Saccharomyces cerevisiae S288C: one gene and its partner. The gene in region 2 interacts genetically with the main gene of each other region. Each region holds a gene or a part of one and is shown on either strand. Other genes may lie near its edges.

What was found.
Region 1: mutations in GDA1 (region 2) and AGE2 together harm fitness more than expected from each alone (negative genetic interaction), as found in Saccharomyces cerevisiae (3 studies listed by BioGRID).

The regions. Positions count from the first base shown.
Region 1 is NC_001141.2:271,041-275,751, forward strand, and holds AGE2 (GTPase-activating protein AGE2), read right to left. Parts: upstream 2,807-4,711; coding exon 1,910-2,806; downstream 1-1,909. Other genes in the region: putative protein phosphatase regulator PIG2, read left to right, coding at 121-1,737; CBR1 (cytochrome-b5 reductase), read right to left, coding at 3,032-3,886; protein kinase PKP1, read right to left, coding at 4,068-4,711. UniProt on the Saccharomyces cerevisiae protein: GTPase-activating protein for the ADP ribosylation factor family.
Region 2 is NC_001137.3:70,540-77,375, reverse strand, and holds GDA1 (guanosine diphosphatase), read right to left. Parts: upstream 3,606-6,836; coding exon 2,049-3,605; downstream 1-2,048. Other genes in the region: YEF1 (NADH/NAD(+) kinase), read right to left, coding at 1-1,432; GTA1 (Gta1p), read right to left, coding at 4,028-6,836. UniProt on the Saccharomyces cerevisiae protein: After transfer of sugars to endogenous macromolecular acceptors, the enzyme converts nucleoside diphosphates to nucleoside monophosphates which in turn exit the Golgi lumen in a coupled antiporter reaction, allowing entry of additional nucleotide sugar from the cytosol.

The sequences.
Region 1 (4,711 bases), on a different chromosome or scaffold from region 2:
AAATATAGAATATACATAAAATAGACAAGAACCCAACAGTTGAGGCGCCAGCTTTGGTAATAGCTTAATAATAAATAAAAAAAGATAATATAGCTAGCTAGTATTATTGCTTTTATCCGTATGGCCACCACCACGCAACCACAAAATATACTGATGGATGAACCTTTAAATCTTCCTAATAACAGTGCCCACAACAATAACTATGGAAACATAAATGCGAATATAAGAACTTTTGCTGGTATGAGCATGCACATGCACCCTGCCAGGCTGAACTCTCTGGAGTTTTTGCACAAGCCCAGGAGACTATCTAATGTAAAACTGCACAGATTACCTCAGGACGAGCTTCAAAGAAATACGGACATGAATAAGGGAATGTATTTTAATGGGAAACAAGTTCATGCCCATCACCCGTTTATAAATTCTGGAGCGAACTTTAACGCACATCATCAAGACGTCAGTAAATTAGGCGAGGAGGAAGACGAAATCTCTCCTCTATCACATGATAATTTCCAGTATGAATCCGAGGAAAATGGTAATCCTTCACCTCCCATTTACAAGAAATCTGGAGAACTGGTTAAGAGTTCATTAAAAAGAAGATCCAAGTCCCTACCCATTACTCCCAAATCTATATTCAACAAAACTGGCTCTAAGAGTAAACATGTCAATTTAGATCATGTAGATACTAGGCTATTGCAAAGAAGTAAAAGTGTCCATTTCGATCGTGTTTTACCAATAAAGCTGTTCAATGAAAATGAGAAACCCATAGATGTTGGCAAACAAATGGTTCAACAAGATGTTCTGAATTTCAAGCATAAGCCTTTGACGAGACTAAGTGCCCTTAATGGCGGTAGTGATAGCGTACCTATAGAAGATTTACTATCTGAAAACAACCAAAACGAATATGGAGATACATGGCTACAAAACCCGAAGGGTGTATTCCTATTTGGTACAAATTCTAATAATCGTAGAAATAAAAAAAAGAAGTTTAAACTAAGTGACGATGACAGTGATATTGAAAATGACAATGATAGTGACGACGCTATAAACCGTTTAGTAAGGCAACAAGACAAAGACCAAGCTCATCTTGCGCACGGGTTGAAGAATTTGTTAATAAACGATGACGACGATTATTTAGAAACAAGAACAAATTCTGCTAAATCAGGAGCCAACTTGTTTATTGGAAACTCTAAAAGAATTGTTGGTCTTTACAACAAGAACTTTCCAATATTAAGTGACAGGAACCGTAAGAGTTTAAAACTTAACATATTTCTGAATCTTTCCCGTGGAAGGCCCGTTTTTTTGCAAGAAATTACGCTACTAACTGGCTTCCACAACATGGTTATAATTGGCAAAGTCTTTGTGAAAAACATATACTTTGATAAGAAGATTATCGTAAGATATACATGGGATGCATGGAGAACTTTTCATGAATCAGAATGCGTGTATTTTTCTAATGCCAATGGCATCTTACCAGGAAGCAATATGGATATTTTTAAGTTCTCCATTGATGATATACACAATCCAAATGATAAAGATAGCAATATATCACAATTGGAGTTTTGTATTCAATACTTAACTTGGGGCGTTGATCGTTCTAGGAAGGAATATTGGGACAATAATGATTCGGCAAACTATAAAATTGACGTGGTAACGAATGAAACGAGGACAGGGCCCACAACAGACGTCAATGATAACTACGAGATGAAACATAGTCTTTTCAGAAACCCATTCCATTAAAGAAAAAAACAAAAACTAATAGTATTGTTTTACATATACAAAAGAAAAAAAAAAGATAAGAATACGTACTTTCTATTTTTATTTGAAGGTCATTTTCTTTATATAAAATAATATACTGGAATGATGTTCTTTTTGTTGCTTTCTATATTTGCTTTCTTTTTTTACTTTTTATTCAACTCCAGACGTTCTTAAATAACTCGTTATCATCCAATGAAATGTTAGAACTGGAATTTGAATTCATACTATTATTATTTGTAGCGGTAATTCCAGTGTTCACGAATGGTGACGGAGTATTACAAGGCTGAGGTGTCGTGGAAGTGAAAAATGAGTTCTGGCTTTGAGTCTGGGCAGAAGGTTTTGAGTATAAAGATAAAATGGATTTTTTCAAATCGTTCCTTTGCCCAAATTCACCGACTCTGTTGCCAGTCTTGGTATTAGCAGCACCTATGCTTGTTGCAGAACTAGTTACACTTGTATTAGATGTAGTCTTAGAAAGCGATGAAACCTGTAGGTTTAATAAGCTCGTATTACTCCTTGAGGTGCTTAATAAGTGGGAAGGTGGTTGTGTTTGCGTCTTTTGTAATGAATTTGAGCTCTGGTCCAATCTTGCATTCGAAGCAGGCAACGAATGATTCGCAGACGGCTTATGCAGAACTGGTTCAGTAGAATCATTTAACCCTTCAATACTGGAGAGGTCACCAATCCACTTCTTATATTCATATTTATTCTTGATGAAATTTTGTAAACTGCTCGTATCAGTGATTTTCCTCTGTTTCAATTCATCAGCCAAAGTAGCTTCGTAGTATGAGTTAGCTCTTAAATTGTTTTTGAACTGTATCAGTTTCACCAAATGTTCTTCCTTCCATGTATCCAGATCAACAGATTTCACTTTCGAAATGTGCGTTCCCAATGATCTATGTATACCAGCACATTTAATGCAAATGAAAACACCAAGTGACCAGGAAGCCCAGCGTGGATGTAGTTGCGCCTTACAGTCGGCACAATGACTGTTTCCTGGATCGCGTAAAAGAGCACTTAATGCCTTCTTGACTGGGACTGACGTCGACATCGCTTGTAAATTGCCCCACGTTCTATGCTCCTTTGTACAGTTGAAGCAAGTATTACCTTTACTTTTGTTACTATTAGTACCGATCTTATACGTATTATCGAGTCGAAAATCGTCCAGCACGAAATATGGAAACGGTGCGTTTAGGTGACTAAACTAAATAGCGTATATATTATATATGTTCCAATCTATATATATATATATGGCACTCTGTTACAGTTCCTTATCTTAAAACACAAACACCTGGTCTTCCATCTTGGAAAGCGGTTTGGAACGTCTGAACCCCAAGTCCACGGTACTTCTTCTAACTGAGGCAACCATGGCTGGAGGACCACAGATCAAAATTTGAACGTTGTCCATTGTAGCAGCGGGCAAGTGTTCCTTGATGACATCCTTGGTAATGTATCCTACACCACCAGTCCAGTCTTCACGGTCAGGAGAGTCTAAGTAGTAAACTATCTTAAATTGGGAAGGCTTCATGGCCACCAACGCTTCCAGTTCCTTCTTCAACAGAATATCCTCCTCATGGACGTTCCCAAAGACTAGAGAGACCTTGGTAGTGTCGTGAGGGTCCATGGCAATAGCTTTCATGATCTGATACATGGGCGCAATACCAGTACCACCAGCAATCATCCCTAGATGGGAACGGCAGTTTCTCTCATAATGATAGTTCCCACGAGGGCCCTTGATCTGGATCGAGTCACCTATCTTCAACTCTCCAATCATCTTAGAAACGTTACCTGTGGGGTAAGACTTCACTAGTAATTCAAAGTTTCCCTTTGTATCTCCATCCAACGATGTGGGCGTATACGATCTGGTAATATCCTTACCATTGATATTGGCCTTAATTACGATATGCTGACCAATTGGTAAACCGAGTACGTCGTCAGCATGAGGTAGCCCGAACTTGTACATCGAAGTATTATGCGTTAAGATGGTTTTTTCAACCAGCGGAAATGATTGGAAGTCATTCCTTTTGGGATCCAGCACAGGCTTGGTCTTCGGTCCGATAATGAACTTGAAGAGCAAAGGCACGACCACGATCACGATGACCACCACAAGCTTTTGAGCATCAATAGCCATCTTCGATTGCTTAATTGATTGAGTCTCTTGTTGAAGAGCCAGTTGAATGCATACTTTCAACACTTTTTTTTCTCGTTCATTTTTTCGCCTTATATAATAAGAATATTTATACATATGTAGATAATTTAAAGAAGTAGAAAGAGCCCTTAATGGTACCGCTTTACGAGGAAATTTAGCACTGTTACTTTTTGGAGAGTAGTGCAGTCTTAGAAGGGCCTTTGAGCTTGATGTACACGTCCGTGCCCCAGCCAAGTAAACTTTGAACGTCAATCTTGCCCCCAAACAGTTCTAGGTACGTCTTGCACATTGGTAGACCAAAGCCCATGCCGGAGACGTTGTTGATTTGCTCGCCGGGCAGATCTGTAGACTCAGAGTCAGCTGATTGTTGGGTATGTGTAGAGTAAGAGTAGTTGAACATGAGGGCCTCTACCTCGGGCGTGATCCCACCACCATGGTCCCGTATCCGTAAGTACAGCTCGTCATCGTCTGGCTTTAAAAGATTGATCTCTATGGGCATATGTTCCTTTCCAAGAGCTATCTGAGCTTCAAAAGCGTTCTTGAATACCTCTGTCATAATATACTCCAGAATGGGCGGAATGCACGTGAATGTGATGTCTTGTGATGGCGGGTGAATTAGGACCGGGGTCCGCTGAGTGTTGAACTTCACAAAGCATATATCATTGACATAATCAGAAACGTGCTTGATCAATTGTGCTATGGGGAGGTCCCGGTGCAAGATTCCAATCATCCTTTTGTTCGTGTCACCTTTGTTCTGTGCCATCAACGACAAATAGTGCGTCACAAGCAGCTTCATCGTGATTCTCT
Region 2 (6,836 bases):
CCGTTACGGATTTCCTCTCCTCATCTTGTGCATCTGAGCTTATGCATGAACTCTCGAGGGGATTACTTATGGTGTCGTTTCCATTTTTCGATGAGTCTAATCTATATTTTTCTTGATTTTTTGGCGAGAGAATATGTGCAAATGGCTTCTGCTCTTCGCGGTCATTCCAATTAAGATTTTTACTGATACTTTCAAAAAATTCACTGGCAGATGACTCGATAGTCGGTACCGAATAGGGGCTTGCAGTTATCACAACATAGTCACCCTGTTTCAATTCAACTCTATCTTTTCCGTCAAAATTCACCCACGACGTCCCTCTTGAGTTCATATCTACTCTAACTTTTAATTCCATGCTATCTGGTAAAATTATAGGCCTAAAGCTCAAAGTATGAGGACATATAGGCGTCACCGCTATGGCATTTACGCTTGGCGATATTAAAGAGCCTCCTGCACTCAATGAGTATGCCGTGGATCCCGTAGGCGTGGCAACAATCAATCCATCTCCCTGAACCTTAGTCATTAGTGAGTCGTTTCCATAGAGTTCTAATAGGGATAAACAAGGAGCTGGACCTCTATCTATGGTTACTTCGTTCAATACGTGATGTTCGGAGATGAAATCGATGTAACATATTTTTCTCCCAGTTGCGGCATCAATTTCTGGTTTATTTCTACGGTAGAGTTTGCATTGCAACCTCATTCGTAAATTAATACGAACCTCATCTGTTAAGATATGTTTCAACGTTTCTTTGAAATTTTGAAATTCAAAATTTGTTAGAAATCCTAATGATCCAAGGGCAAATGGAACAATCGGCGGAACATCTTTCGTGAATATAGATGAAGCAAAAAGGACAGTTCCATCACCCCCTAGTGTAATCATCAAGTCAAAGAATGAATCGTGTTTTTTAACAAATTCTTTTGACCAATACTTTACTCTGTTTTTACTGCAATTGCTGTCTTTGCAGAGGTCACCAACAGCAAACTGAGTTGACTTTTTAAAAATATCTTGTACATATACAGTTATTGAATGGAAATTGCGTAAGATCCATTCCACCACTTCTCTCATGAGAAATACAGTGGAAATATCATTAATATTGCAGATTATTATCAGGTTTTCAACCTGCAAGTCAACCTTAGCATTTATAAGATCCTTTCTCAAACGCCTTACATCGTATGCAGTATCAACATAAAATGGGTATAAATTACTCGTGTCCTCACCGACAATTGTTTCGCTCGATAATCTTCTGACCCAGTTTTTTGCATCATGATAACCGCACCTCATTAAGCCCGGTTCTTCGAAGTTGCTTAATACCTTGCCTTCCGCTAAAACTTTAACTGATGTCATTCTGTCAATAGTATCCATAGTATCCATCTCAGCATCTCCCTTGGTACATGTCTCCGGGGAAGCGTTAATCAGTAATCTATCAGTTTTCATATTCTCTTTTAGTAAAAAATGTCACGTAAGCAGATTTATTGAGATTGCACTATTTCCATTTCCCTTTCACAACGCTATAGAAGTGAGATGAATACACTAACCTGATTGTAGGTTTATTTATATATATAATATCAATAGCTAGCAGTTTATTAAACGACCTGAAATGCAGTTTCTTCGATCACCAGATAAGTCCGATTATCCTTTTGTTTTCGATTTTCTTGAGGACCGGTGTGATATCCACAATCACCCTAAAACTAAAACAAAGCCATATAGTCTTAAAACAACGGAACAATCCATAACAAAAGTATATTAAATTATCTCATATGTTCAAGATTATGAGGTCCTAACAGATAACTCTTCCAGTTCATACTCAAACACCTGAAGGCGTGGCGGGCTTTTACCAAAAATGGATAAACCTCGGAAGGCCTTTTCAATCCCCTGTCTTGGCGGCGGTGTTATAATAAACTATTGTGGGGATAATAGTGATTTTCATAACGTAAAAATCGTTTACATATTGTTCAAGGGTTATAGAATAGGACATATAACAGAATACATATCACCGCAATCTCCTCTTCCTTAATATACATGGGACGAAAAGCGGTGTCCATGTTCTTATTCAAGCTGATTGAATTTTACATTTCCAGTTATCAGCTTTCAACAATGGTAATGACGCACCTAAACACCAACCGATTTCTTTATTGGCAATTTTCTTTCCAGTTCTCAATTCTCTTTGTAATGGAATGTCATATCCCGTATGTAATAAGGACACTTGAAAAGATAAGTCCAAACAGAAGTGCGAGTCACTTTCCAATTCATCTAGGGACCCCGCAATGCCACTGAAGACACTATTCCAAGTTTCTTCGCCTTTACACACTATTCTTGCCAAATCGTTCAATTCATTCAAAGTAAAGGACAAGGGCATACCCAATGGACGGGTTCTGTCGTAGAAATAAGAGAAAATATAGATATCGTTCGATTCTTTGAATGTACGAACTAAAGAAGGTTGGTGAACCCCATTGAAAGAGCATGGTGGAGACTGGCACTGAGCATCTTTATTCAAAATTTCATCAGTCAGAAATCTACATTGTGCACCACTTGGCTCGTCCGGCCCTATAAAGTCAATGGTATAAGTTTCCTTGGATTCTAATGTAACCTTTTCATTTGTGGCATTAACTTTAGGCGGTAGGCATGGAGATGACAATTGATGAGTCTTAGTGTTATCACCCTTCAATATTTTGCCGTCTTTTAATGCATTTTCCACAAGAACAGAGTTAACTTTATTTCTTCCTTCCTTCAAACCGTAACCTAGATGAGAAAATTGGTACAAGGTGTAATTTTCATCACCAAACTTCAAATCAAATTTATGCTCACCATCGACCATTTTTTCATTTATTGGGAAAGTAGGCTCAAAAACAATTTGTGTAGACCCTCCGCCTAAGTCAAAAACGGCAGCAGTAGGTAACTTGGGGCCATTAGCACCGATATTACCTAATAGGTAGTTTGTAGTAATCCAGGCGAAGACACCTTCTTCATCACCGCCCATGATGGAAACACCATCACCTTCGACAACTGGGAAAGGATAGTCCTTCTCCAAATGATCCCTTACAGCGCTCAAAATTTTTGAAGATTTGGCATCACCCAAGAGTCTTAGGCCTGCAGTAGCTTTCACCGCAACGGGAGTACAACTTCTTGCCTTAATAGGGACATAGTTCATTGCTACTTTCAGTAATGGGTCAAGGGAGTTAGCGGCACCAACGGAATCGGTATCGAAAGAAGATAAACCAGGCTCTAACATGTCGAATTTTTCATCAAGTAATGTAGGTGGGGAAGTACAGACGTCAAACTTGTATATATGTACTCGGGAACCGGTAGAGCCGGCATCGATCATGATAACATACTTATGTTCTTCGCTGCATGTTTGACTTGTTTGTGACTTCACAGCATCGGCAAGCTCAGGATAGTTTTGTTCAGTCTTCGAATCTTGAAGGTAACCTGGTTCATCATTGACGGGCAAGATAGAGATGTCCTCCGGAGTTTTGGGAATACTAGCATTAGGAGTAACTGTACGTGCAATAGAAGGTGGACCGATGGAAGATGTTTTAATCAACAAAATGAGCATAATAACGGCAAAAGCACCGATAGCGAACCGGTAATTTCTAAAGATGGGCGCCATGTTTTTTGTGCGATGATGTCTTAATGTTTCTTCTCGAGAGGACCCTTAACTGTTCGCCAATAAAGATTGTTGATTGCAGTCCTTGCCCTTTTTATTAGTGCTTTCTCCTTAAAACCAAAATTAAATAAGCTTGTAAAAGAAACTGTTTTTATATTTGGAAAATCGAAGCACTATGCAAGGAATATTATTAATGTTGACAGTTATTTTTCATGTGTTATGTTTTTCATATTGAAGTTGTAAAAAGATGGGAAAAATGAAATTGAGACGAGACGCCAAAATAAAAAGAAAAAAAAAAAGAAAAAATGAGATTAATACCGTTACCCTATTGATGATTAAGAATAAGCTCAAACTGCTTTCATATATTATGTTTCATAATTTATATATCTACATATATACACGACCTGGAAGTATTATAATATTGTTCATGAGTCGTGACTGTGCGGGTTAAATAGATTATTCATACCGCTCTTGGACAACAGTTTTGACATTCTTCTACCGCTTGGACTAGTTGATGGAGTTGATGAATCTTGAATATCCGTGTCCGCATTAGCAGGTGATGATGCAGACTTGTGCTTAAACTTGGACCATGCAGAAGAAATGCTGCTGTTACTTTGGTTCCTCTTGTGAGAAGGCTTAGGGCTTGGTTCTTTAGCGGGAACCTTTGGACCCACAGGCACATCGAGGTGATACTGCTCCTCCAATGGAGGAGAAAGTTGATTTGTATTTGAATTCCATATGGAGTTGAAAGGTGGTGAAGAGGCATGGAAAGATCTTCGTGTAATGTTATCCGCCGTTGGTTGATGGTTCATTGTTAATATGTTCGAGTGTGAAGGTGTTAAAGTAGTGTTATTGCCTGGAACAATGGGCACATCGTTTGAGAGTCGTGGGCTCAAGTTTGGCACCAATAAATTGAAGTCACTTGATATCCTTGGACTAATGTTCTCGGTTTCATTGCCATTGATATTGTTCTGTAAGGAGTTTGCAGGTTGCGGAGCACTGTAGAAAGAACCACTGCGTACAAAACTTTGTAATGAAGGATCATTCAATGTAGCGGCGAGTAGACTCTGTGGATGCATAGGATTCGTATTGGTTGCGTTGGAGGTTTGTCGCAAATGAGAACTAGAATATGGAGATATTACTGGGTTAGCCTTATATGATGACATAGGTGTTCCAGTCGTAGAGAAAAGACTTTCATTTGTGCTGCGCACCTGGGGTTGCTGCTTAGTCCAGTAATTGTCAAGTTCGTCTGTAGTAAAACCCTTGGAATAATTGCTTATGTTATCAGGATAGTCTGTTTCGTCGTAGATCATATTTTGCAAACCACTGATTAAGTGGTTTGCATTATCGTATTCAAAAGCTTGATCCAATTCTGTAGATACTTGTTGATGCGAAGGTTGAGCGAATTGTGCGGTGGTCCATAAATTTGACCTTGAGTGACCATTAGTTGCTGTTGCTGTTGCTGTTGCATTAGCAGTAGCAGTTGTAGGTAAAGCATGTGAATATGAAGAAGGCTGTTGCTTGTTTTCGTTGTTCGATGAGATGTGATTGGAGAGCATTGATCGATTATCGGTGTCCTGTGTCAATTGACTCAATAGACTGCTTGAAGGTTGTATGGGTTCATTCGAAGGAGAGTACGAAACTGGATTGTGCAACCTCAACGGAGGAGCAGAATCAGCATTACTGTTGTTAATACTTTTGTTATTATTCGATATTAAATCAATGGACCCCGTTCTTGACATGTTGTTGGATAATGGTAATTGAATCGATCCAGAACTTCTGTTTTTTTCCGCGGAATTATTCGAATTGGTGGCAGCAAGCGAATCACCGTTATTCTTATATGGTTGAACCATTAATTTTGTTTTCAAATTCCGATTATTAAGGCTCATTTCATTAAATTGGTTTTCTAAAGCACTAATTTTCTTCAACAAATTTGACCTCTGCAATTTCCAGTTGGCCTCCAATTCTTGATCAATGCTTAGCTCTTGCTTAATCATTTTAATCAATGATGAGTCTGCATTCAATTTGGATAGAAACTCTTCACCAGCATTACTTAAAAATCCATTTTTTTCTAAAGTAAAATCATTGAGCTTCTTCAAAACAGCCGACAATTCTCCGCTAGCAATAGGTTTATCGTTTTCCACATTGGCATTCACCACTATGGAAGTAATCAATGATTTTTTGGAGGCGTTCAATCTCTTGTTAGACTCCTCCATCTTGGAAATTTCATTTTGTAAAGACTCAATTTCTTTGTTGATATTGGCCACAGAGGCATTGGATTCATTTAGCAATTTGAAATATTTCTCCTTTATGGTATCCTTAGACAACAGCTCGGTATCTTCCTGAGACCATTTCTGCATATCATTGCGCATTTTCGATATTTTTTCCTTGGATTTGTCGATTTTCTTGTTCAATTTTTCGATTTTCAAATCGGTCAATAGTTTAGAATTCTCCAATGACTTGATATTGGATTTCAAGGATTTCCGCAAGTCAATTTCGTGCGACCAATGTGTTTTCAAGTTATCCAGTTCTAGTTCTAATTCTAACTTCGATTCTTGAAAATCTTGCAAAAGCGAAGTTTGTTGGGACAACACATCGTGTAAGTCCTCCTGGGCGCAAATCAGTATCTTTTTCAGATCATCGATGGAAAACGAATCCAAATCCTTCAACGTAGTCAAAGATGTGTAAGCGGGTAGATTTGAACCATTATTGCTGGTGGCGCTATTAGTAATATTGGATGAGAAAGTAGACAGGGAAACAGAGGAGTAGTGAGAGGGCAACGGGGCGGGTTCGGACTTGGAGTTTCTGGGCTGCATAGCTGTGGACGATGTGATGGTGTTTCTTCTCCATTTTCTAGTCTTTAACGCTTCATTCGCCTCTCTCGCCTTCGTCATACAGTAAATGGAGGGTAGCTTATTGATAAAGCCCTTGTTGTTAATCGTTATAAAATCTAACTGGTACTGCGTCTCCGCCTCGAGACCCGTGATGGAGCAGCATGTGTAAAGGGAGTTTGGGTTGTTTGGGAAGATAGCCAATTGTGTGTTATTCAGATACAACAAATAGTGGGAAATGAAGTTTCTATCCGCACTGCCATTGTCCTCCGCTTTTACAGGTTCGTTCTCCCAATGAATGGTCACTGAATCCGTGGCTATTTTGTCGATAGACACTTTTGTTGCCGGTGGAGTTTTGATCTTCAAAGTGGAGACGATGCTGGACACAGGAATAGTGAGAAAC